Linked DNA regions of Schizosaccharomyces pombe. The gene in region 1 interacts genetically with each later gene. Each region holds a gene or a part of one and is shown in the gene's direction. Other genes may lie near its edges.

Region 1 (8,468 bases):
GAGAAGGGCTCCATATTTGAAGGATATTATCATCGGCAAGACTTCCAACCACCCAACGCTCGTTTGGACACCAACTAAATTCTGAGATGCGATTTGTGTGGCCTCCATGCATAAATAGTAATTCTGGAGAACCATCCTCGGCATCCTCCGGAGTCTGTTCCTCTCCAATCTTTTCTAAATCCCAAATACAAACACGGCGATCAGTTGAACTGGATGCCAATATAGGTTCATCATGAGGTGACCATTCTAACCCATATACCTCATCTTCGTGTCCTTCCAGGGTATGCAACCGTTGATATGGATTACGGAGGTCCCAAAGAGCTACTGTTTTATCAGCACTGGCTGTTGCTAAAAGATAGTCATTAAAGGGATTAATGGCAACGGCATTTATGGCTTTAGAATGAGCCTGAATAACTTTGGGAGCTTCTTCTTCTGGATTTAACCGAGTATCGTGAATTTGCAAAGTGCAATCATCCGACACCGATGCTAATAATGCCTCATGTTGAGGATGAAATTGAACATCGTTAACAATATCAGTATGACGATGATATTTGGCTATGGGGGAAATGACTTTTGTCTCAGAGGAAGTAAAAGATTGTGTCTGAACATCCCATAAACAGATAACTTGATCCTCTGCTCCTGTTGCTAGATTTCCAGGTAAATTCGGGTTCCAGCAAAGACCAAAACCTTCAGCAGTATGGCCCTTCAAAACTGCTTGAGGAAGTGCTTCACCTGTAGTTAAGGCATCATGACAAGTTGTATCAAAAATATAAGCATTTCCTCCTTCTCCCATGGTAGCGATGATTTCAGGCTTTTGAGGCATGTAACGAGCACGATTGACATCGCCATCGTGAGGGATTTTTTGTGAAATTTCAATCGTATACGAGCCCGTGGCCTGTGCTCTTCGAATCGTAGAAGGAGTAAACTCGGTGGTATCCTCATCAAAGTTTGGTAATTGCACAGAAGCAATCTGTAAATAATTTTGATCATTACCAGATGTGTGAGTGCCAAGAATAAGACGTTGAATAGAGTAATCAGTACCTGGTATTCTTCAAGAATCGAGTTAGAAAACTGATGAGATGGTTTGAAGTAAAGGCCAGTATAATCATAGCCTAACTACTTTGGCAAGCAACGTACGTTTTTTTGTCAGGAAGCCATTGAATTGTCAAAGAAGGCCATTCCAAAGCGTGGGTTATTACCAAGTCATACAGAAAGGGAACATTTTGTTTCCAAAGTTTGTATTCTGAAACGAGTATAATCGTCAGTAATTACGGCATAATAATATATATTAATGAAGAATTCCCTTTAATCATACCTTCTTGTATTGTTTTTTGTAAGTCTATCTCGGCATTGAGTTCATTATTCTCGAGAGGTGCATCCTGGACTACTTCCTCTGACATGTTTTGGGCAACTACACAATGGCCCAAACTAGATTGCCAAGTTAAAAGTTTTGGAGTTATAAGTAATTTACATTATTTAAAGATGCCCAAATAAATCTAGCGCACTCTTAAGTCTGAAATAAAAAAAAAATAAAATAAAATTCATGAACAGCGATATAGAAAACAAGTTTCAATGAGCGAAAACAAATTTGAACATGCCTCTAAAAACCATTACTTGATGCCACGTCTCCATGAAAACAGACATTCATAGTGAGAAGAATTCCTCAAACATCGTCTTTATCATGCTCTAATAATTATAAAACCATTTGGCAAAAACAAATATTATAATCTCAGTATACTTTGATAAACAGATTGTCATTATATTTACACTAAAAATAAAACTATTGAACCCAGCCATCAATGGGATATTTATACTGTTGGCTCTACGAATTGTTTTACAGTACACCGTAAATTTATTAAACAAATCATGTAGTATTGCAAACTTTGGGTACGTATCTAAACTAATCAAATATAAACTTTTTTTAATTAAAAATGTCTGGGAGACAATCCCATCCTTGACCCATGGAAAAAAGTCAACGACCGGGAAAGCCACTCAATTCTTCGCTGAAGACGGAACGGATGCATTTTCTTGGTCCGGAGACTCCAACCATCATACTTGACTTCAGGATTGATTTTACTTTACTTATATAACAAAGTAAGTTAAAACCTACTGATGATGGTGAATCATCAACTGAACAGACCCTATATATAGTAAATTTGTTGTGACGGTTTTTACCTTAGGTTAGGGTATTAGAAACGATGTTCTGGAGACTAAGTAAAATTTCATATGTAAACAATGGCTGAAAAGAGAAACTTGTGAAATGACTATGAGTTTTGGCTGATTTTAATTTATATGATTAGCTAGCTTTAATAGCACGTAGTCAGACTTTTGGGTACTTGTCGTGGAAACTTTAACATGCTAACTTGATAAATTATTCGATAACAGTACAATTCAAATCGTGTCTCTTATTTCTTTTAACCTCATCATAGCAATTTACTGATTTTAATTTAAAATATTTATTAAATATAGTTGTGAATTAAAAAAAAAAAATTCCCAGATGAGTACTTTCTTTCTAATGTTATTTATTTTGATATACTGAGGAATTTGTATACCGCATTGCCTTAAAATGCATGCCAACAGTGGTCTAGCTCGTTATTCGTCTCGACTTTTTTTTGGAATAATGCTTGCGTTTGCTAAGTATTTTGAGGAGGCAATTAATATCAGTATATCAATTATAAGAGAGGAATTTAGTATAATTGGAGTATATTTGCACGTTTTGAGTTGTTGATCGTAATCTTATTACTTCAGATGTTTTCATAGCGACTTCTGGTACCCATTGTATATTTATAATTATTGTAACAGTTTTTAACATTGCATTCTTTTTTTTTCTTGCTAAAGTAAATTCATCAAAATTTAGAGGTATTTCTATGAAAGATCTATCCATATCATGTAAATTTTTGTGTTGCCTACATAATCGAGCATCCAAACCTTGGTTGTCGGATACACCTTAATTAATCGGGGCACAGAAGAAATTGAAAAAAACAATAAGCAAAATAATTAAATTTTATGAACCGCAGTCTTAACAGTCATTATTATTAACCTGCTACTTCAAATGCGGTTTTGTTAATGACAGTAAAAAATACAAACACTTCAAAGTATTCAAAGATGAAATTTTCGGTGTGCATAAGCGTAAATAATCACAAAACTGAGAACAAACAGGTCATCAGTAAAAAAAGGCAAAATTTAGCCTTTAGGAAACTTTTTCTCTCTTTTTTTTGAACAAACGGATAACATCAGGGATTCGATATCTAGCAATAATAAAATAGTAACGTAGAAAACATTAACTAATAATAAATATACAAAAGATGTGTTGAGGCAAAGTCTTTCAATTCAATCAAATTAAATTGGTTTATTCCTAGGAGCGATATGATTTTTTTGGATTTCACGATTTTCTTTATCATTCTCCTCATGCTCTGGTGGATGGTGAATGTCACGAAGCCTTCGTAGTACAGGAGGTATAACATAATCTTTAACTGTGTCTGCCCAAATCATGTCCAAGTGTTCATAGCTATCAACCTTAACATGCTCCACCTCCGCAGGCAAAGCATTCAACATCGCTTGGATATCAACGAGTGAGTCGCTGCCTCCCCAAATAAGATAAATAGGGGTGCGAATATTATTTGTAGGGAATTTGGCAGCTTTGTAATATTTGAGGAAATAGTCATGACCAAGCTGGTCATTATCATACATTCTAAATTCTGCGCTTCTCATGATTTGAAACCAATGCACAAGGCACTTTACACTAGTATATGAATACAAATGGGCGAATGAAACCAAGCGTTGATAGGAAGAAATGTTTTGGCAAGACCAGTTAAATAACTGAGACAAACAGTATGCAAGGACTGCATCAAAAAATTTTGGAGCTGGATAAAAATGTCAGTGAAATTATTAAAAGAAAAAAACCGTACCTAAAAAGCTTTGCCAGAATCCGGCAGACGGCAAAATAGATTTTCGTCCGAAAAGGAAAAATAATATGGAAGGTCTGGCTTTTACAAAGGCATCTACAACTCTGTTATGTAAACCTTTTGGACTAATTGCAGGTGCTAACGCTATCAAAGAGTTGATTTTGTCATTCAACAGGGGATGGATACTCAAAGAAGCAAAAGCTTGAGCAGTGCCCTGAGAAAATCCTATATAAGTGAGCTTTGTTTGCCCAGAAGTTTTTAGAATATAGTCAATGGTATCGGGAATATCGTATTGAGCAAAATCGTCAATGCTAAAGTCCCAAAATTCCTTGTCAGTAGAGTCGAAGCGAAGATGTTGACGACTGTATTTATTTCCTCGATTATTTCCGAGCTTAAGCACAATTAGTAAATAATTTTTAAAAAAGAAAACTCGAACGAAAACCATATTAACTTTACCAGTAACTAATTATTTAAAATATGATAAATTGAACGCAGCAAAATACTTACCCAAACATCGTATCCTTTATTTACGAGATCAAATACTAGGCAATTTCTGGGGTCTACATTACAAACCCAGACTTCCGAATTCATCAAAAGACCGTGATGACAGTAAACGACCGGAAGCTTTTTGGGATGAGGAGAACCAATTCTTCCAGGGGAATCCTTCGATATCCTATGAATACAAAGTATGTAATCATCCTCTGTTCTAACGAGATGGTCCTCAACATAATACCCAGAAATTTTGCACATTTCTCGTATGTCAGCTGCATCGTGAATTGCCTTTGCCCTTTGAAGGCTAACGCTTCTCGACCTTGATCTTTTCTTTGAACGTTTTTTAATCTCATTTCGAACTACTGATCGATAAAACAAGCCTAGCGTATTGTGAATCATGAAGGCCAGGCATGAAAGTAATTTTTCAAAGATTACAAAGAAAAACCCCAAAAATAGGGCCATATACTCTTCCCTTTATTTGTCAGTTAATATATTAAAAGATTTGCATACCATTTTAGACGCTGAATAAACGGTAACTGAATCATTTCGCATATTGCGTGGAATGGAGGTACTAAACCTTGCCCTCTGCCAAACAACTATTTTTGGGGGGACTTTTGAAATTGGTTTAAAAGCAATAGCCTTTTAAATTTATTTTAGTATTTTGCAAACAGAGATAAATATTTTGTTTGTTTTCTATTTTTTTACAAGGTTGTCGGTCTATAAGTTCGATTTTGTTAACAAAGCCTTGGGTCATAATTTTGAACAGAATTTGCCCACCGTTTGATAGTTTCATTTCCGACAAGCTAACAACTACTTTTAAGGCTATGAGTTCACTAAGCGATCAATTATCTTCGTTTAAAAAGAAAGTCGCAAATCAACCTATTTATGCAAAACCTCAACCTCGTCAACCAGCTTCTCCGACTCCAACAGCTTATTTGAATTCAAATGATGGACATTCTTCTGCCGCTTCAAGTCCAGGGTCGTATTCCCTGAAGAAAAAGCGCTCAAAGACGTCTTTGGTTTACTCGCAACCCGCTGATTCTGGTGTTGGAACGCATTATTTATCACAGCTACACTATGCAGTTGAGTATTTAAAAGAGAGAAATGAGCCTAAAACGGCTGAGGAAATTGCTTCTTACCTGTCAACTCCATTGACTCCTATGTTACTCAATCTTTTGAAGAAAAATAATCGCATTTATTATGATGAAAGAAATGAAACGTTTACCTTTAAGCCATTGCATAACATTCGCTCAGGAGCAGGTTTATTAGCATATTTAGATTCACAAAAAACCCACGTTGGTATGAGTATCAAAGAGCTTCGAGACGGATGGCCCAACGTTACTGTTGAACTTGAAGAACTAGAAAAACAGGGAGAAGTGCTTTTATTACGTACAAGGAAGGATGGCGTTCCTAAAATGGTATGGAGAAATGACAAGAGCTGCGATTGTCATGTCGATAAGGAGTTTCAACAAGTTTGGCATGAGATTCCCATTCCACCCACTTTGGATTTAGCTTCTGAACTTGGAAAATACGGTTTAAAGCCCACTAGCGTGGATCCTTCAACCGTAAAGCGTGCTGGTCATAATCAAACGCCTAAACAAAAGAAGCCCAAAACTCGACGTGGAAAGATTACGAATACACACCTTAACATTCTTCGTGATTATAGCTCCATGAAACCTTGAAATCATATTAAGGATCCCATATTTTTTAACTAAAAACTGTGTTGCTTTTGGTATTTAATTTCATCCGGTTACTGTGTTGTTGTCTGGTACTGGATGTGTTTGAAAAAATAGCTATCTATCTTACATTCCTTTTTCCAAGATTTGCATGGACTGGACATATTTCCTCTTTGTTTCTTCTAATCTATTTGCAACTATGGAAGAAAACTCTATTGTTTAATGATGATGATTTTTTACATAAACTGTTAAACCTATATTAGCTGACAATTAGTCGGTATTGTTGACAAGTGCATTTATTGCTCTGTAGTTAATTTGCACTAGTATACAGTGACTAAGTAGACAATTACATTTAGTTTAAACAGAAATTCTTATCTTTCCCTTTTGTGCATTGTCGAAATAGAAAGATCAGTTATGTATTGAAAGGTGTGTTTATGTAGGTGAATGTTTTGTGGAAAGGAAAAAAAACGTATTTCTTCACTCATGCTAATAAATTGATTTCATTAGCATGCATTTTTGTAACGAAAAAATAAATTAATATTAGCTCCCGGCGGGACTCGAACCCGCAATCCCTTGATTAGAAGTCAAATGCCCTAGCCATTAGGCCACGGGAGCTAGTTAGTAGAACGTTATATTATGTATATTTTATATATAAATTTATAATTTATCACCATTTTTATCCTATACTGCTAACTCTAAAAGATGTAGAAATATATGGTAATTCGTAAATATAAGAAAGCAGAGTGCATGACTAAATAGAAGATCGATGTTGGTCACTTCAGTGCTTTCCTTTAAATACGTTTGCATTTTCGAGACAATAAAATTGAAACACCCGAGCATTTTGAGTCTCAGCTTACAACTGTTATAAATTATTAAGAAAGGAATCCAAGGTTTTGCAGAATTTCCATATGTGCTTCATTACTTTCTGCACGCTACAATCTCTATGATTTTTTAACTATATAGTGCCTTCAATTTTTGTCATTTACCATTAAAAGATATTTATTTTTTTACCCAAAAATTACTAATGAAATAAAACCTTTTGAACACAGCCAATGTAAGCAATGACATATCCCCTAAAACTTTAACAATTTCCCATCCTAATTTGCTTTTTTTTCTGCTCCTGTTTTGTACATTTACCACTTTTTTACGCAGATGTATTAAGTACGCATAAAGCTCAAAATACCCGAACAGTAGCCCACCAAATCTAAAAGACGCTGATTTTCTTCTTTATGAACACTTTCCCATGCCTTCAAACTTTCAAAAACAGGTACCGTATCTTCGGGAGTATCATGCATTAGTAATACGTCCTCGTGTGACTTCGTAAAGACGGACATACAAGCTTGGACGAGCTCGAAATCTCTTCTTTTAGAAAGCCTTCGTGTCATAATATTGATAAATAATATAAATTCTTCATAAGGCGGGTATGCATCCAATGACCGAATCTCCAAATCGATCTTTGCTGGCCCGAGGGATTTTAAGTACTCGAAAAACGCATCATCATCGTTTCCATGTAATAAAGTAGAAAACTCGGTGCCGGATACTTTTATGGAGGCAACAGCAGTCGGCTTTGAAATCTCAGTTGCTATAGGCTGCTTGGGCACTGTCGCTTCTGATTGATCCTTTAAGGAAGGCAAGAAAAACGGTGCTTTCTCGGGTACTTTGGGTACTTCCTTGGGAGCATTACGAGCCTTAATTGCTTCTAGATTAATCAAAGTTTGCCATTGAGTGCGTGGGAGTTTGCTAAGAGTTTGCAAGTTGGGATCGAGTTGATCCATCGTCCGATATGATATATCTTCTTCATCTTCAGCATTAGACTCGACATTTAGAGCGGCCTCTACCACAGATATTCCTTTTTCACCAGATACGGAAGGAGCTGAAACTTCAACAACATCATCAAGGCGAAGTGCCTTTGTAGAAACGTGTTTGAACATTGAAAGGTTCGTCCATAAGCTAATTCCCACCTGGTCCACATGCGTTGTTGCCAGATAATCACCAGTTGGTGCAAATGTCAAACTTGTGCATACACTGGGTGTAGAAATTGAATCAATTAAGTGACCAGTGGGTAGATCCCATGTGCGAATTGTTCCATCTAAAGATGCAGTAACAAGCCATCTGCCAGTATCGGAAAAATCAAAGCTGGTGAGACGATTCGAATGACCCCATAATTCACGAACAATCTTCCTTGTTTGTACGTCAACAATGCGAATGCCGAAATCGTCACAAGCGACAGCAACGAGGTCTGATGAATGTTGATAAATCGCATGAGTAATGGAACTTCCAACGTCTAATGAATCTATTAAGTTTCCTTTGTTGAAATCCCAAAATTTTAAAATCCCGTCCAGCGATGCAGTTACAAGAATGCGATTTACATTGTCCAACATAACTGCAGTGACTG
Region 2 (9,396 bases), 1.8 Mb from region 1:
TAATCATAAAACACAGACAGGAAGAAATCATGACTGCTCAGTATAAGCATTGCGCGATTTCCATACTGGCGAAAAAGAAATGTCTCCCGAGTCTGTGGTATGTTTTTGCCACTACGGGATTGAAGCAGTAGTTTGAGAAAAGGAGATGTGATACAAATAAACTGGCGACTCACGAAATGTTCCTCACAACAGTCGCAAACCTTAGAGTAAATCATGCGATTGCTTTTTTGCATTTACAATAATGCAAGGAGGAAACCACGGATCCGCTTCAATCACTTTATGTTGAAATTCATTTAATTAGAAATTTCTTTTTAATTTTGTTTGAAACAGTTGTGATGTAACTTTTTTGATCAGTCAGCCAAATTCATCGTCTTACTAATTTTTTGAGCGTACACGTTAACTCAACGAATGCGGCCAGTGACTCTTTAATCCGCTACGAATACTCAAACAAACAAACAAACAACCTCCCAAATATGCATTTAATAGTTCAAATCCCTTTTTTCGTTCTCTCAAATATGTCTACCGCCCATTCACACTTCCTTGACATTCTGTCCCGGTAATACCTAGCGTTCCTTCAATACCTCTTAACGACCTTTTTTCCCGTTCATATGTATTACGTAGTCCAGCGACACACTAAACCTGCTTTTTAACGTTGTAACAATTTCTTCCTTATCCTTATTTCTTATTCCGACCTTATCATGCGGTATTTCGACAATATGAGAAAAGATGAGTAATGATCATCAAATATCTTATCATCGCTTCAGAGTGATGCGAGATTGATCGATTACATATGTAAACAAGCACCGATCTATCACACTATATATATGCGAGCACTCGGACTCTTAAGGTTCAACAGTCATTACATACCTTTATTATTTCCCCAGCATCTTTAGTTTGGTAAAAAAAAACCGAGCGTCGTTGTTGGGTTTCACTTGCTTTTTTGTTTGTTTGTTTACCAACGCACACTTTATTATACACACTCTCTCATTCACGTATTTACTTAAAGCCTTTTCAAACATATCACAGTGACTGTTTGTTTATTTTTTTTCCACAACGCTCATCTAGTTTTGAATCAGCTTACTTAAATCATATCTCTCCCTTGAAGACGGACTATTCTTAGGTTGCTTTAAGGTTTGGTTAATTTGACAAATAGTGATTCTATTTATTTCTATTTGTTTCATTTCGCTTTCTCTTGATTCTTTCATTTTGCGGACTAGGCTCTTTTTCTTCTTTTTAAATTATCCTCTGCCGCATTTTTATATCCTCCTATACTGTGTCGTATTGCGTAGAAAATCAATACAGACTTACTTGTAACGTTAACTCAATAAGTTATCGAACCACGCCTTTCGTTCTCTTTTCCTTGTTAGTTTACTCACTCGATGGATTTGGATTTTTGCACAGTGTGTGGAGCCACCACTCAGGATGGCAGTTTGTACTGCTCTTCTGAATGCCATCTTTTGGATTTCACCAAGTTGGACACTCAAACCACATCTAATATCTCTGTATCCTCCGAATATCAATTTCTCGTCTCAGAACATCTAGCTCATTTCCATCGCAAATCAATGACTTCCGCCGATTTCCCTACACCACGGTTCAGTGCTTACACAAAACTACATGCGTAGTCTACTTAGAATCGGTTTATGGGTAAGGTACCCAGATTACAAGTATTCAACGCTGTATTAATTGCACATCTTTCTTTCCTTTGCTTCTCTTTTTCAAAGAAGTCCTTGTATCAATATTGCACAGGACGCGCTTTCTTCCAAGCAGGAATAATGTGCACGTGGTTCAATTCGTTGTTATGAGTTATGAATGTATGTATGGTTTTAATGGTTTGGCAATGTCGATAATTGGTCTTTTTCTTTTCGTTACGTTACGGTTCGTTTATTTATTTCTTCTTTTCCCTATTCTTAATATAAGTGCTTGTACATTATTATCACCTAACATAATGATGCTTAAACATTGTTATGGGATATGAGGATGTACACATTATTGTTATTGTATCGTTTCGTGGGTTTGTTTATATTTTTTATTTGCAAAGCTGATAACGGAACATGCAAAGATTAAGACAAGCGTTTTTCTGTTTATTTTCTCTGGATGCGTTTAAATGGCTTTAGTATTCTTCACCAGCAATTTAATCCGCGGTCATACTCTGCTTTTCATTTGATTTAGTAATTAAGAATACATCTTTTCACAATGCATGAAATTGTAAATGCCCTTGTTTTCTTAGGTCTATATACGTTGTATCGCAAAGGTAGAGAACGTAATGGATTAGTGGCCATGAGAACAATCTTCGATAACAGTAGCAATGAATTGATTCCCAAGTCGAGATACAACTTGTGTTGCCTAACACTGTGATTCAACGATTTAGTATTGTGCACGAACATGATATAAAAGATCCACATCTTTCCTTACTAGTAAATATCATGTACCAAAATTCTTATGGCGCATCAAAATATTCATTATTTTTATCCTGTCCATTCACACAATATACAAAAATAAAGGGTAGACAACTTCTGCCATCAGTCATTAGGGAATAATACAGTTATTCGTTATATTATTTACCGCACCCAACTTAGGTTGTGAACCCTTTGTTTTCAGAACAAAAAGCCGATTCATGTCCATTTGTCAGTTTACCAAATTAGTAATCATTGAATAAATTTCCAATTCACTAAAAAATCTAATTAATTTCCCCAATTGCTCATTCTATCGTGAACTGTTTCTTAAGTCTCTTTTACTGTTGATCCTTATCACTAAAATATGAAACAAAATAACAAAAAGCCATTACCATCAAAAACCAAAGAAATTTCGCTTGAAACAGATTGGATAGATGTAATTGAAACGATGAGAGAGACAAATGAGTCACCTAAATCTCAAAATCCTTCTGAAGAAGCAACTACTGTAAACGAACTATCTTGTGAAGCCAAACCCAAGCTCTTGTTCACTCCTACAAAGTCCTCCCTATCAATTGGTAATTTTCCTTACAAAGAATTTGATCCAGTACTTAAATTTCCTGGTATTCACTATACTTACAGTCGTGAACGACTATGGGGCACTTGTGTTATCTTATCAACGTTATTCTGGTCATACTATGTACTTTCAAATTCTGAATTACTTGAATTCGAAGCTTCAGAATATTCCCTACTTTTTATTTTGATTATAGCATTGGACGCATTGCTTACAGTTTCTTTGTTTGGTAAGCTATAACACTGGACTTTGTCCACGTTATCATTTCTAGTCTCTAATGAATGAATAGGTTTATTTCATCATTTAATGTTCCTGACAACCAACTATTCATATACCATTAATTCTACGCTAGATATTTCTAAGGGCTTCTTCATCAATGTTTTGAGCACTATGGTTCAAGCACTTGTGACGGTAACAATTGCTTTCACTAAGTTTGTTACCATTGACTTCCCAATTTGTACGTTTCCTAAGACATAAGTGAATTTCTAACCGTACTTTTAGACGTTTTCTCTTCTCTGTTCTTATATCATCCACTATCTCGCTCACGCCAACTTCCAACTAAAATGCAGTTGGACGGATCGGGTGAACGAAAAACCGATTCTTCGTTAGTGCATCAAAATCCTCCGAATTAGCTAATTATCATCATGTTATTGAGGTTCTGTTTAATATAGCATTAAAGGGTGCACGGCTATTACATGCATGCATCATGTGCATCCATATTTTTTCTTAGACTGTTGAGGGAATCTCGAGTAATTCATGTCATTTGATTTACAAATATTGGACATGACTGAAATACCAATGTAATTGTGTTTAACTGACTGGAATTAAATGTTTCCGATGTCCTTTTTACTTATCTCTTTTTCTGTTTTCTTTAATTTAATTTTTTCCTCATGGACAGCATTATGACAGCTTTTAGCGCTGTATTTGCTTTGCTTACGACTTTCTCGTCTTGTTTATGAGTTCCGTTATTCCGCGGATGATTGTTTCGCATTTCCATCCGAACTTGTAAACGTATGTACAACTACTAACTCTTGCTTTGAATTTCAAGTGGGTATACCTTTTTCAAGGCGGCTTGCATTGTCTTTTTTTATGCATGCACAACTACTTTTATCGTTTTCAACCTGAGACGACAATTTCATAGAAATGACATAACTGATTTTTGCTTTTTAAAACTAACTAGTCTTTTAACATGTTTTTACTTTCAACCAAGTCTACTGCTACAGCATGATCCAATTCCTTAAACAAAGTTCAAACGTTTTGAAACCTTCAACATCAAACCTGTTCAAAACCTCTCCAAACACATGGTACCCAAATCCATCGCACTTAAATCGGAACCGGCAATAAAAAGTAGATACCTTTGCTGGTTTATCTCACAAATCTATCCTACAGTATTGACTTTAAGCGACTTTGGGAGTTAGCTCCCGTTATCTTGGGTGCGCAGCACCTTTTTGTCACTCATGGTCCGTGCTTTATCAATTTACCTTCTTTGATAGCACAGCGTTCATACTTTGAGGCATAGTTATATCTATAGGGATGGAAGCAGATTATCGAAATGATACGCTATGGGGGGACAGTCACATGGAACGAATTTGATATTTAAAGTTGAAATTGCGCATTTATAAGCAACTGTGTATTGCAACTGCTGAGTGGTTGAACAAGAATCGCTAGCCTCCACTTTAATTAAGTCATTGTAATTTTACTGCTTCTTGAAGTCAAAATAGTCATTGAATCATAAAAACAATTATTTGCTTTCTCTTTCATTTTAATTTCTTGAGCGTGTGTGCAAAAGTTACGATTTCAAGAAAGTGATAAAATTAGCCACAGCGAATCGTCAGTGTCTCTTGTCGGGCTTTTCAAAAGTGTTTCAATCTAGTTTTTAATTTGACCTAATCTAACAAACCCCCCCCCCTTTTATCTAAACCAATTCCTATTGCGAATTCTAATATACGACTTACTAAAGTTATCAACAAAGTGTGTTTATTTTCATTTTGTCAATATGCGTGCCTTTCGCCTTGCTTCCGGTGTTTTGAGAAATCGAAAAGTCATTTTAGGTATTGGTGCTGGTTCGTTAATAACAGCTGGCAATATTAAGATTCGCAATGACAGCAAATTCGATGCGTTTTTTGCCAAAGGATTTCCTGATGAATTGCAGCACCGTTCTCTCTTCAGCGTCCTCCGTAGTGCCTTTGTCTATGAAATTTGTTCTCGAGCTTGGCTAGTGAAGCTATCGCTAGGTGCGATGAGTTTATGCGACGTCTTCCATCTATCATTTTTATACAATCCGTTTTGCCGCTATACATTTTACAAACATTTCTGTGGTGGCGAGACGCCTCAGGCTGTCATGGCTACGATGGATACGTTGCAAGCAGCAGGTATTACCTCTTGTTTGAATTACTCTCGTGAAGTTGACTTGGACGGCGATATGGATGTAAATAAGATCGCTTCTCAAGGGGTAGTACCTCCTCAGGTTCCTGTTCCTTCTGAGAAGAACCAGAAAGTGTTACGACAAATTGCGGACAAGGCTTTTGAATCAAACATGCACATCATTGATATGGCAACCTATAAGCCTGGAACTGTTTGCGCTGTTAAGCTTACCCCATTCATTAATCCTCTGGTTTTACAACGATACAACTCCATTTTGAACCAGTATCCGGTAGAATCAGCGTGTAACTATTTGGAGCATCTGAAGTCTCCTGAATTATCAACTTATGAAGTTAGCGAATTAAAGAAATTTTGGGAGTATGCCGACAAACTGTGTCAATTTGCAAAAGAGAAACAAATCCCACTCTTTATTGATGCTGAGCAAACTTATTTCCAAGATTGCATGCATGCCGTCACAGTTGACTTAATGAGAAAATACAATAAGGAGGTTGCAATCGTTCATAATACTTATCAGTTGTATTTGAAGAAATCTAGAAAAATTATGGACGACCACATCAAGAAATGTGTTGCTGAGGGCTGGCTAATGGGCGCAAAACTCGTTCGTGGTGCTTATTTGAACTCGGAACCAAGATTCTTAATTCACGACACAAAAGCCGAGACAGACAAAGATTTTGATTCAGCTGTGGAAGCTATAATTGCCGCAGCTGCCAAATTTGCTCCAGGTGACCCTGCCTCTGCTTCTGACCCGATTGCCTCTCGTAAAGGAAAATGGGGAATTATGGTTGCTAGTCACAATAAGAAAACAATGTTTGAATCGGTGAATTTGGCAGAAACCAAAAAAGTTGACTTTACGAAAACCTCTTTCTATTTGGCTCAATTGTTGGGTATGGCTGATGATATTACCTATGCTTTGGCTTATTCTCAGCGCAATCAACAGCCCAATTTTTGCATTGTAAAATATGTTTCTTGTGGACCTATCAGTGAAGTCCTTCCTTACTTAGTACGCAGGGCACGTGAGAATATTGATGCTCTTGATAGATGTAAAGAGGAACGAGCCTACTACCGACAAGCTCTTCGTCGTCGTATATTTTAATGTTCTCCGCTCCCTTGACCGGGGTTTGGTACTTATAATTGAAAGAAAGCAAAAGGCGTTTTATTCGATTCACTATACGAAGCTTCAAGTCTGCTGTAACATTGTTAAATTATACTCATTATTGGTACATATGATTTGTGAAGAGAATATCGTCGCTCGTTTTTTTTCACGTCAACCTTCCTTCGTTATCTTCATATAGTCACGGTTAAGTCTATAATGTAATAAATACCCAATTCAAAGGCCGTACTTTATCTCCTTTATTCATACATTCAATATTTAAGGACGTTGTCTACGCTTATATGAGTTTTCTCATACCATCGTTAATATATTCCTTTCATGAAATTTCAAACTAGTAATTTGCGGCGAAATCATATAATGTTTACTTTCCAAGTACCAAGTAAGTGCCCCAATCTGTTTAAAAAGTCAAACCTGTCATATATCAATTGTTTTACTATTGTCAAGGAACTAAGACATTGAAATCAGCTGAATCAGCGCTTAGTATTTAACTGTCAAAATTTATATATTTCTCAAAATGACAATATACACAATAAGGCTCTTCTAAAATAACAGTTATCTTTCCGAATTTATAGACCTAAACTTTTTTATTCATACTTTCTTATTAAGGAGTAGATTACTCGAAACTTACATTTAGAAAAGTCCTAATTATGGACTACTTGAATTGATAATTAAACTATTTTCTTTAAAACGCCTTCAAATTTTTAGAAACGATAAAAAACCATCATTTATTCCAGCATTTTGCTGTAAATAGCTACATAAATATAAAGGCTCAAAGTTCGGCGTTATTGCTCTCGGTTCCAAGCATAGATAGTATCATCTTATTAATTTACTAATTGCGTGATAACCTCAAAATTCTGAGGGTACAAAAAACAAATGTCTTTGAAATCAATGAAAATCAAATGTGGTGGATGGTGCGTAGAAAGTCGCCTACAATTGAGTTTCGGCGACTAAACGTAATTCATCTACTCGACACACCCAGTTTCCGTCACTCACTTTCTCCCATCTCCCACTCCATTAGTAGGATCGAGCAAATCTTTATTTGGAAATTTCCTTCTCTTTTATCATAAAAAAGATGTACAAGTATTGTTTCAGGAAACCAGCTTGCATTTCATATCGTGGTATTCGTTTCATGTCGAAGGCTAGCGATACCGATCCAACATTGGCAAACGCCTCTTCAGCCAAGCGAAGCGCATTTGAATCCCGTGAAAAGGCTAAAGAGGATTTTTTTGTTCATCAACATGAAATTGAGCAACTTCGAAAATTGAAGGAAAGCCTCAAACTTCATCGTGAAGAACTTGATGAATTGGAATCCCGCGTTGATAAGAAAATGAAGAGTAATGAATAACTCTAATGCTTAAGCATGTTCTTTCATGAAATCGACCTCAAGCGTAATGATTGTTGGCAATATAGCGAAACAATGATTTTTTATGTGGCTGCTTACCATAATAAGTGCATTGTGCAATAAGCAGCTGTTTCTGTTATAACAAAAGATATCATTACGGCTTTTGGATATGCCACCCCCTTTACAACTCCCTTCTCTTCAAATAGCCGAGTCTTTCTGCGAACCCTGCTTTTTTCGATTATCTATCGGTTCCGATTACTTATCATAGTTAATAAAATTGAATGCTATTTTTTAAGGCCTCATTAAAATATGTTTATAAACAATGTGTTAAAAAACGCATATTTCTGTAAGATCTGAAAGTTTGTTCGGATTGATGCTTAATTTTTCAATTTCGCATGTTGTAGTTTAATTAATTAAACTTAGGCAATCAGCATATTTCCTTAAATTCCAGCTGTCTCTCCCTGCTGTAAATTGCGATACTGCCAATGATCAATATTAAAACCCCTCGCGATTTTCTTTTGTTTCATAGTCCTGCTTATTTCATCTTCACCCTGCAAATCATTATCCAGAAAAAAAGGTTGTGTAATTGATTAATGTTGGATTGCTTTTACTGACCGTGAAATCATATCATGCAAGCAGTATTGTTATGCTAACTCCTTTGGTATTCAAACATTGTTTACAGAAATCGTTAGTTCCAAAATGTTTTAGCTTATGCAATGGTGCTACTTAATTAAGTAATAACTATTTCTTCAGAACACGTAGATAAAAATTCCTGCTAGTATAATGATGAATCATATTTATTATATACGCTTGAAAGCAGTTCTTATTTATTTACACATTATCTTATAAATAACGAAAATCAACAATATGGTAAAAATTCGATGGGTGTAGTAGATTGGCAGGAAAAGCTTCATGTAAAATACACCTATCGGGCTGGATGGCACGATTAATGATGAGAATTATAAAAAAAAAACCGGTAATTGTAGCAATCCATGCAAATTTAAACAGACACAAATAAAGAAGAAATATTCATCCATCCAAGCTAATTTACACAAACAACGTCTCCACAGGTAGCGTTGAAGAAAAGTAGGAAAGGAAATCGGCACCTAATAATAAACAGATGCCGAATCTGCACCAGCATCATTTAGGAAACTTTCAAAGTCAAAATCATTTAACATTTCAACATTACTGTCGGTTTTAGAAGAAAAGCCGAATGCATTTCCAGCACTATCGTTAAACAAAGCATCATCTTCGAGTTTAGAAATTGGCTTTGCCGCCGTAGGTTCATTCTTCGCATTTGAATCCAAAGCGGATGTATCGCCGCCACTTTTCTCTTTGCTTTTAGAGGCATCCACCATAGACGATGAATTAACGCTGTTAGATTGCATTTGTAGAGACTGAGTAGTATCTTGTGAAATGGAATTAGTTCCTCCTGTCGGTTCTGGAGCTCTAGATGCATTAGGGCTTGTTTTTGCCCCTGGAGAAGCATGTGCAGAGGGAGAATCTTTCATTATCTCAGAGAAAGTCGATCGTTCGGTTGTGCGTATAGTATTGTCGGCGACACCCATTGTAGCTATTCCACTTTTTCCTGGTTGCG
Region 3 (7,961 bases), on another chromosome or scaffold:
TCAAGCCATAATATTGCAAAAGAACACCAGAATGTGAGTCAACGTTGGGATATGGATTTTTGGTTTTTCCATGCTCTGTAAGAACACCTGGAACTATTTCATACAGACGGCTTACAAGTTGAAACATGGGATCTTTAGGAAGATGCTCAAGTGCAAATTCACGCTGAGCCGTATAGCGAGGATCTGTCTTACGAAGTACGGCATGACCATAACCAGGAACAACACGACCAGAATTCAAAAGCTTCCAGAGATAAGACTTGATTGTTTCTTCAGATAAATCATCACCGATTTCTTTCTTCATTGTAATCAAAAAGTTCAAAACTTCTTGGTTGGCAAGACCATGAAGGGGACCAGCAAGTCCATTTAAGGAGGCAGCCATCGACAAAAAGGGTGAAGAAAGAGCAGAACCTACCAAATGACCGGTGTGAGCAGATACATTACCACCTTCGTGGTCAGCATGGATGGTCAAATAAAGACGCATAAGCTCCACAAATTCCTCATTGTTAGCAAAGCCCAGAACATTAGCAAAATTGTACGAATGGTCCTTATCCATTTGAATAGGAGCAACAACACCATCACGGTACAAATTGCGGTAGATACGACCGGCAATTGGAACGGTCTTGGCAATCAAATCCATGCAGTCTTCATATTCATACTTCCAATAATCATGCTTGTTCATTCCACGCTCATATGCTTTAGCAAATGCAGAATCGTGCTCAAGTGCAGTAACAGCGAGAGAGAATTGGGCCATTGGATGAAGGGTAGGAGGGCAACGGTCAATGAGTTCTTCAACAAATTTGGGTAACTGAGAACGGGCGGCCCAGTCAGCGGAAAGCGCCTGCACTTGACTCAGAGTAGGAATTTCCCCGGTAACTAAAAGCCAGAACAAAGATTCAGGAAGAGGCTGTTTTCCGTTGGGAGAAGAAGGAAGTAATTTTTGGCATTCCGGGATAGTATAACCACGGAATCGGATACCCTCGTTAGGGTCTAAAACAGAGCCTTCCCATATTAAAGAACGAACCCCACGAGCACCACCATACATTTGATTGATAGTTACCTCACCAATGACATCTTGGCCATGTTCTGCGCGAAATTTTTTGATTTCTGCTTGTTTTTCAGGAATAAGCTCAGCTAACCGATCCTTTAAGGAAGAGGAACGAGTTGAGTAAGAAGATGTGAAAAGGGGGTTTAATTGACGGGAACGAAGCGACGCTTGAGAAAGTAACGACGAAGCAAGTCGTCGAGTACTAGCTAATCTTGTGTTTGTCATAAAACGAGGTGCGTTTAATATAATCATCCTAATAATTTAAAAGTTAGTAAAAAGTAAAACTTGGGAAATAAAAGAAGGCGTGAAATGCGGGAAAAGCTCCTTTGTAATAATATGAGAGAACGAAGGATATCAGATCAAGGAGATAGTGAAGGCCGATTCGCAAATTTAACAAACAGAAAAAAAGAAATAAGCAATAAGAATAGAAAGTCGGTTAATGATAATATCTAAGAGAACTATCGTGAAAAATAGAAAAAAAATTGACTATCAATAATCGCCAATGAGAAAAGTCACTTTAATTTCAAACAAGCTAAAGACGGGGTTTGTTATCAAAAATCAATAATTAATTTTCAATTCAACTAGTGTGCTTAATCTGAGCACACTCAGATGGGTCATAGATATAGACAGGAACCACAAATTTAGTAGCGTAGTCATTATCAATAACGGCATCTAATTTTAAATAGAAAAAAAAATTGAGCTTTTGAAGACCTTTTCTATCCTCTTCAAAGTAAGAGAAATGAACCCATTTTGAGTGAAAATTTGCATACGCTATGTATAGGATTGACCCCAAGATAAGCGCAGATGAAAAAAGTCCTAGCATTGGCAGACATGAATTAGAGCATCGAGTAAACTATATTTCCAACCAAAAATATAAGACTTTCTTTCAAGAAAACCGACATTTCGTAAGACCAAAAGGCCAACGAAACGCAAAATCAAAATTATCACAAAGGAGGATTTTCTAAACTATGCACTAGAGAATATCCTACTGCCTCTCGACAAGATCAAATCTCAAACACCTTTAGGCTTGCACTTACATGAAAAAGGGTATTACAATGCACCGATATTGGCTAAGGAAAGAATAATTGCTGGGATGGGGGACTATTTATTCGGTAAACCTGAGTACCATTAGCATGAACGGAGGGGAGGGTGCGACGTCAGTGCCCCATGATTCTGTCCATTCAACAACTAGCCAAAACCGAGGAGAGGAACAACCTTAGCATATAGACTCGCTTCTGATGTCGGTGAATACGAAATACAAAACCACTTAAAATTCAGTAAAGTGAAGAAGGTTTGTGGAGAATGACTTGGGCAACAAAGCCGAAATCCACCAAACAGTAAGAAAAAATTGTAATGAAGAAAGAAAGCCTTATTTATCACATATTTACTAATGAACTTTAGCCTACAACTTACAAACCCGTTGAAAAGTCAAATCTCACTTTTATGATTGGGACAGGCAACCTTGCATGGAAACCCGGTTCATCGTCGCAGGAAAAAATAATATTTTATTATTTAGATGTACTTTGATCAAAAATAAATTAAGGAGTAAGAAAATTTGAAAAGAGGCGTATCCGATGTTTCCATAATTGTTGAATGATACAAATTAGACTACATAGATTGATATTATATCCTTTCAACAATGAGAGAAACGAGATGGGTATGAATAAGTATTGATTTCCTACCAACAAACAATTTGTACATTTTATGCTTTGAAAACGTACTGATCTACATTACCATAGTGTCTTGTATTGTTGGCCTTGCAAGTGAAGTGCTATTTACTGTTACTATCAATAAACGCATCTTTGGTTCTTGGTTACCATACTTTGTGCTACAAATTTTATCTCTCATAAGTTTTTTTTCTTTTTTTTTTTTTTTTTTGAAATTTTAAATAGATAACAAGCCGAATTTCGAGAATTTGCTTGTCTTGATCAGGTAAAAAAGGGTAGTTGCTCCGATCGATCGAGCTAATGATATCAGTAAAGATCAAAATTTAGGAGAACTTCCGCGGTAGCGGATTTCTCAGTCAAACATAGTACTACAATAGATACAGAAAAGAATTGCTTAGCTATGCAAATATTTACTCAATGAACGTTGACTGAAGTAGCTTCATCTCTTGCATGTGCGTTACGGCAATGCATATGCATGTATCGGGAGTGAATAAATGAATAGAGATGTTGACAAGCGACAAGAAAATAATTTTTATAGGTAAGAAAGTTTTTGATAACTTTTTCTAACTGCTCAACCATTGCTATTGACGAAGTTTAGATGGATGTTTTTTTCTTAGGATTGCTAGTGGTAATCGCTATTTTCACTAACGCTAAGCGTTACAGCTCGTTTCGCTTTTTATTCCCATCCAAAAACTTGGACCCCAATGAGACAAAGTGGGGGTGGAATATTAGAATTGCGACTTTTAGATCGTTACTGAATACCATTCCAAGTATCCCACATTGGAGAACCATGTGGGGAACCGTTCGAGTTGGTATTGTACATACCCCGTCGGCCAAGGTAAGAGAGCGTGTAGACTGTAGTTACTACTTTTTGGCTAGAGGATTCAAAACTCAAAAATAGCTCTTAAAAATAAATATAGAAATGAATTAATTCAAAAACATATAATTTTTCTTCGGGATTCCTTTTTTTTACAACAACAGTCATTTCAAGTGCTTTGACTTGACAGACGCAACATAAATAAATAAATAGAACACTTTGATGCAAAGTATCGAATTCCAACATATCTCTCTAGACTGCTTTTCTATTAAAACCATGACTACTAGTGTTTCCATATAAAAATATAAAGAGATCCATCAACAACTAATACGTACATATTAGATTTTGCATTCCCAAATTGCTTCGTTATTTCACATACACCCATTTATTTAAAACGAGTTAAGAGTAACATCATTTGAAATCAACTGAAACATTTATATAAGCTGATTTTTCACAATCTTGCTATTTCACTAGTGTGGAACCTGGAGCTGCTTCATAGTTTTATACAATAGCATAACAAAACTCCAATAATCTCATTTATACTCTGACTCACCAAGTCGATGATGTGTATCTATTTAGGTTAAATTGATCAATTATATAATTGTTTCTCATATATTCCCTTACTTATCGTATTTATTATTTATTTATTTATTTTTATTTTTTGGAATATATACCGTCTAATTAATAATAACATGATTCTATCCACTACGTTATAAATAATGTTGGCTAAAAAAGTTTCTTTACGTAAAAAAAAAAAACAAAGTCAAATTGCTTTGCATACATGTGTCCAAAATTTACGATTATTGAGAATGATAGATAAAATCATAAATAAAAGTTTTGAAAGTGATGGAAGTTGCAATTTTCTTTCTTTATTGAAAACTTGTGCATCCATTTGTATTAGTAAACCAGCTTGGATTGTTAGGTAACTGTTACCCCAAGGGCATCTGGTCTATACGACTTGAGTGGTGCAAATATCCAAGTTGTACCTCATGTCTTCCAATCCGCTATAGCGAAGACGATGTTTGGTCGGAACGATTCTCTCCATTCATCGATTTTCTTCAGCTTCTTCTAGCAACGCTATATATATTCGTGCTCTCCGCCATCTGCCTCTTAAACACTCGTATATCGTTTATCCTTTCATTGACGGTATTCCTTTGCAGATATCGTAAACGAGTTTTCATAAAATTTAATCCTTTTTTGTTTATCTCTTACTTCCTTTGCCCATTTCCATCTCTTCACATAAATAAGTACGATGCCTCGTAGACGTTCTGCCGCACCTCCTCCTCGCCGTGCAGCTCCTGCCAGAAGTGCTTCCACTGCTGCTGCTTTACCTCCTAGGACAATGGCACCTCCTCCTGCTCCTAGTCGTGTGCAACAGGCTCCTCCTCCCACCGCCGTCCAAGGAGGCAGCTCACCTGGATTCTTCGGCAATCTGGTTAGTACAGCGGCTGGTGTTGGTATTGGAAGTGCTATCGGACACACGGTTGGCAGCGTCATAACAGGCGGTTTTTCTGGAAGTGGTTCCAACAATGCTCCAGCTGATACTAGTGTACCTCAATCTAGTTACAGCAACAGTGTTCCAGAAGCCGCTTATGGTTCAGCACCTCCATCCACCTTTGCCAGCAGTGCTATTTCTGAAGAGGCGAAGAATGCTTGCAAGGGCGATGCTAAAATGTTTGCAGATTGTATAAATGAGCATGAGTTCAGTCAATGTTCTTACTATTTGGAACAGCTAAAGGCTTGTCAGGCCATGTGGTCCAACCAACAATAAGAGGCAATGAACTAATTTATTTATTTTTCTATTAAATAAAAGTTATGCCCAGTTTGTTTGCATCAGCATCAGCATCGAAATTTTTTTTTTCATGTTTCTACTAACGAGAACGTTGAACCCTAATAGCATTTGTTAAGCAGTAAATAATAACTGGTTTCCCTGGTATAAGACATAGTATAAGAACGAGAAGAAATAAATCATATATGGTATTTTTTTTGTTTGGTTTAGTAATGAAGTTCTTTTTTTTTAAAATGGCCCAGTAATAAAAAAGTTCACGAAGAACGTAGTTAGAAAGCTTGATAAATAAATTAAATGAAATCTATGCTCTTTAGAAAGTTCTATGATCTGGCTTGGAGAAGAGTAGTACATAACAGTATGGTAATGTAGTTAGAGCTTCTCTTAACATGCGTACGTTTTCATACCTCTTAATAGTAGGGATGGTTCAGTTCATACAGCTACCTAGTTCACCCCATCAATCAATCAATCAATCGATACAGTCACTCTTCAAAGCATTTTGAGAGTTCTCCCACAGATTTTATGCTAGCTGGAGTTCCGACTTGTTTATTAAAGTAGGAAGGTTGGAAGCGAACCATATCTAACAAACTTTTTTCAAAACGAAAATTAAAAGCAAATTAAACTTTCATTGTCTTACGTCCCATGTTAGGGGGGGGAAGCAGCTAAACAATGATGATTTATAGATGGTTGCCTCGGCTATTATTTACTTTGTTTCATATCTGAAAGAAGAGTAAGGGATAGGATACGCCAAAGATCCACCATAAAACGGTTTATCAACAAAAGGATCATCATCGAATTTGGTTTATGAGTCTTTCAAATGTACTCGTGTTTGTTAGTTTAACATACTATTGCATCCACTAGAGATAGTTAAGAGAAGCTGATTTACAAATGATCGGTTTCGACATGTCTGCCAAGTTATACTTTTAACGTATTACCAAGAAAAAAAAATTTACGGGACGGGGATTCCATTCTTGCTGCTTTGGTTTATACTGTAAGCATAACAGCAATCTTAAATTGAATCGTCTTTGCCAAGCGCATTTGTAAGAGTATTGTATGCTATGCCACGCAGTGCATTTTCATATCCAACGCTACATACAATTTGTTGTTACTCTTTCTGTAGACCATTTCGGAACGTTGATTGAAGATCGGAAAATTTAATGTTTCGTCCAGAAATTGTCTGCATATGTAGTATCACAGAGAGTGTCAAGTCATATCTGACAGCATCAGGTTAATGAGCTTAATTTGGGCCAAAGGCGAGCTAGAAAAGAAGAAGAAAAAAAGAAAAAGTAAACAGTAAAGAAAAACATATAACGACTCTTATTCATCCTTCCTCAGCATTCCCTTTTTCATATTTTTATCCCATTCTAATCCTAGTCTAAGAAATGCTGGCGATATAGACCGAGTCTACTGGTGTCTGGAAAGGAACATAGCTATATCTATATATAGATATAGATATAGATATGTATGTATGCTTGTATTTCGTTGGCAGTTTTCTAGTTTAACTAGCAAAATACAAGAATTAAAATTAGTATTAGTATTATTATTATTATTTTTAAACATTTAAACATCGACTAATTTTTTCAACATCTGTTTTCACTTTCAAGTATCGACTACTTTCTACATTCCAACGATCCATTCTTTATTATAGATTCACCCTTTTCCTCGATAAATAAGCACCATTACACATACTTAAAATTTTTGTTTCAAAGGGAAGCTAAACTGTACGACGATGTTTATCGTTATACTCAGCTGTCACTTATCCAGAACTCACTCCATCAGAGTGCGTGCATTTAGCTTGCTCCCTGCACATCCCACTACAAAGTGTTAGAGATAGGCAATCGGAGTTAGAATACCGAGACTTTATTCCAAGGTAAAAACACATCTAGAAATGGGGACAAACAAAGAAACAAAAGGTCATGTGAATGTTAGATTCAAGGGGTAGAGTTCGATATCTCAGCAAGCGATTCCTTTTTTTTTTTTTTTTTTTTTTTTTGAGAAAACCTCGGTACACGCTAAGCTGGCTTTTCCTATTGTTACTCCTTTTACTACTAGTATTATACTATTGCTTTGCTTTGTTGAATAAACAGTCTATAGAACGCTCAAGAAAATACGACGAAAATAGTTTATTCATAGCTTGACAAACTAACTACCTTTGTTTTGTTTTGTTTTTTTCTTTTCTTTTTTTTTTCGTTTCTTAGCTTGGCTATAGCTTGCGTATTCTGTCTTTGTCAGTCATTAATCCAGACAGTAATATAACATATTCACCTTGTTCTTTTAAAGGTCTCCCTTTTTTTCTTTGTTGCTCATCTAGATTGTGCTTAATTTTTTTTTTGTATACTAATCAAAATTCAATTTATTTTTCTTTAGTTATTTATTTGTTTTTTTTTTCGCTTTATTGGATCCTATTGTAAAAAATCATCTTTTTCATTGTGCTTGCAATTTACCTTTCTTTGACGATTACGCCTTTGTTCACGACTTTTAGCATTCTTCCTTTTTCTATCTCCATGGGGCCGTTGTTAACTTACTCCTAAAATTTGTAGTTGCTTATCTTCACAACCAAAGGATGCTTCGGTGCAGCACCCAATTTTTAGCCCATTACCCTGTGCCCAATTCTCAATGTCTCATCATTTGTCAATACTAGCTTGT

The links. Genes that interact genetically often act in the same process or in processes that back each other up.
Region 2: mutations in tfa2 (region 1) and put1 together harm fitness less than expected from each alone (positive genetic interaction), as found in Schizosaccharomyces pombe (one large-scale study listed by BioGRID).
Region 3: mutations in tfa2 (region 1) and mix17 together harm fitness less than expected from each alone (positive genetic interaction), as found in Schizosaccharomyces pombe (one large-scale study listed by BioGRID).

What each region holds. Positions count from the first base shown.
Region 1 is NC_003421.2:577,067-585,534, reverse strand, and holds tfa2 (transcription factor TFIIE subunit Tfa2), read left to right. Parts: upstream 1-4,977; 5' UTR 4,978-5,221; coding exon 5,222-6,079; 3' UTR 6,080-6,315; downstream 6,316-8,468. Other genes in the region: histone H4 chaperone, CENP-A recruiting complex CENP-A chaperone Mis16, read right to left, coding at 1-1,049, 1,138-1,243, 1,316-1,400; SPOM_SPCC1672.09 (triglyceride lipase-cholesterol esterase), read right to left, coding at 3,340-3,863, 3,909-4,296, 4,413-4,869, 4,908-4,942; U3 snoRNP-associated protein Utp21, read right to left, coding at 7,231-8,468. UniProt on the Schizosaccharomyces pombe protein: Recruits TFIIH to the initiation complex and stimulates the RNA polymerase II C-terminal domain kinase and DNA-dependent ATPase activities of TFIIH. Both TFIIH and TFIIE are required for promoter clearance by RNA polymerase.
Region 2 is NC_003421.2:2,347,771-2,357,166, reverse strand, and holds put1 (proline dehydrogenase), read left to right. Parts: upstream 1-4,588; 5' UTR 4,589-4,960; coding exon 4,961-6,439; 3' UTR 6,440-6,899; downstream 6,900-9,396. Other genes in the region: extender of chronological lifespan protein Ecl1, read left to right, coding at 1,380-1,622; SPOM_SPCC70.04C (uncharacterized protein), read left to right, coding at 2,758-3,193, 3,254-3,421, 3,466-3,596; inh1 (ATPase inhibitor), read left to right, coding at 7,530-7,802; transcription factor Adn3, read right to left, coding at 8,906-9,396.
Region 3 is NC_003424.3:2,321,984-2,329,944, reverse strand, and holds mix17 (CHCH domain-containing protein), read left to right. Parts: upstream 1-4,641; 5' UTR 4,642-4,781; coding exon 4,782-5,300; 3' UTR 5,301-5,464; downstream 5,465-7,961. Other genes in the region: citrate synthase Cit1, read right to left, coding at 1-1,298, 2,083-2,084; SPOM_SPAC6C3.03C (uncharacterized protein), read left to right, coding at 3,311-3,613.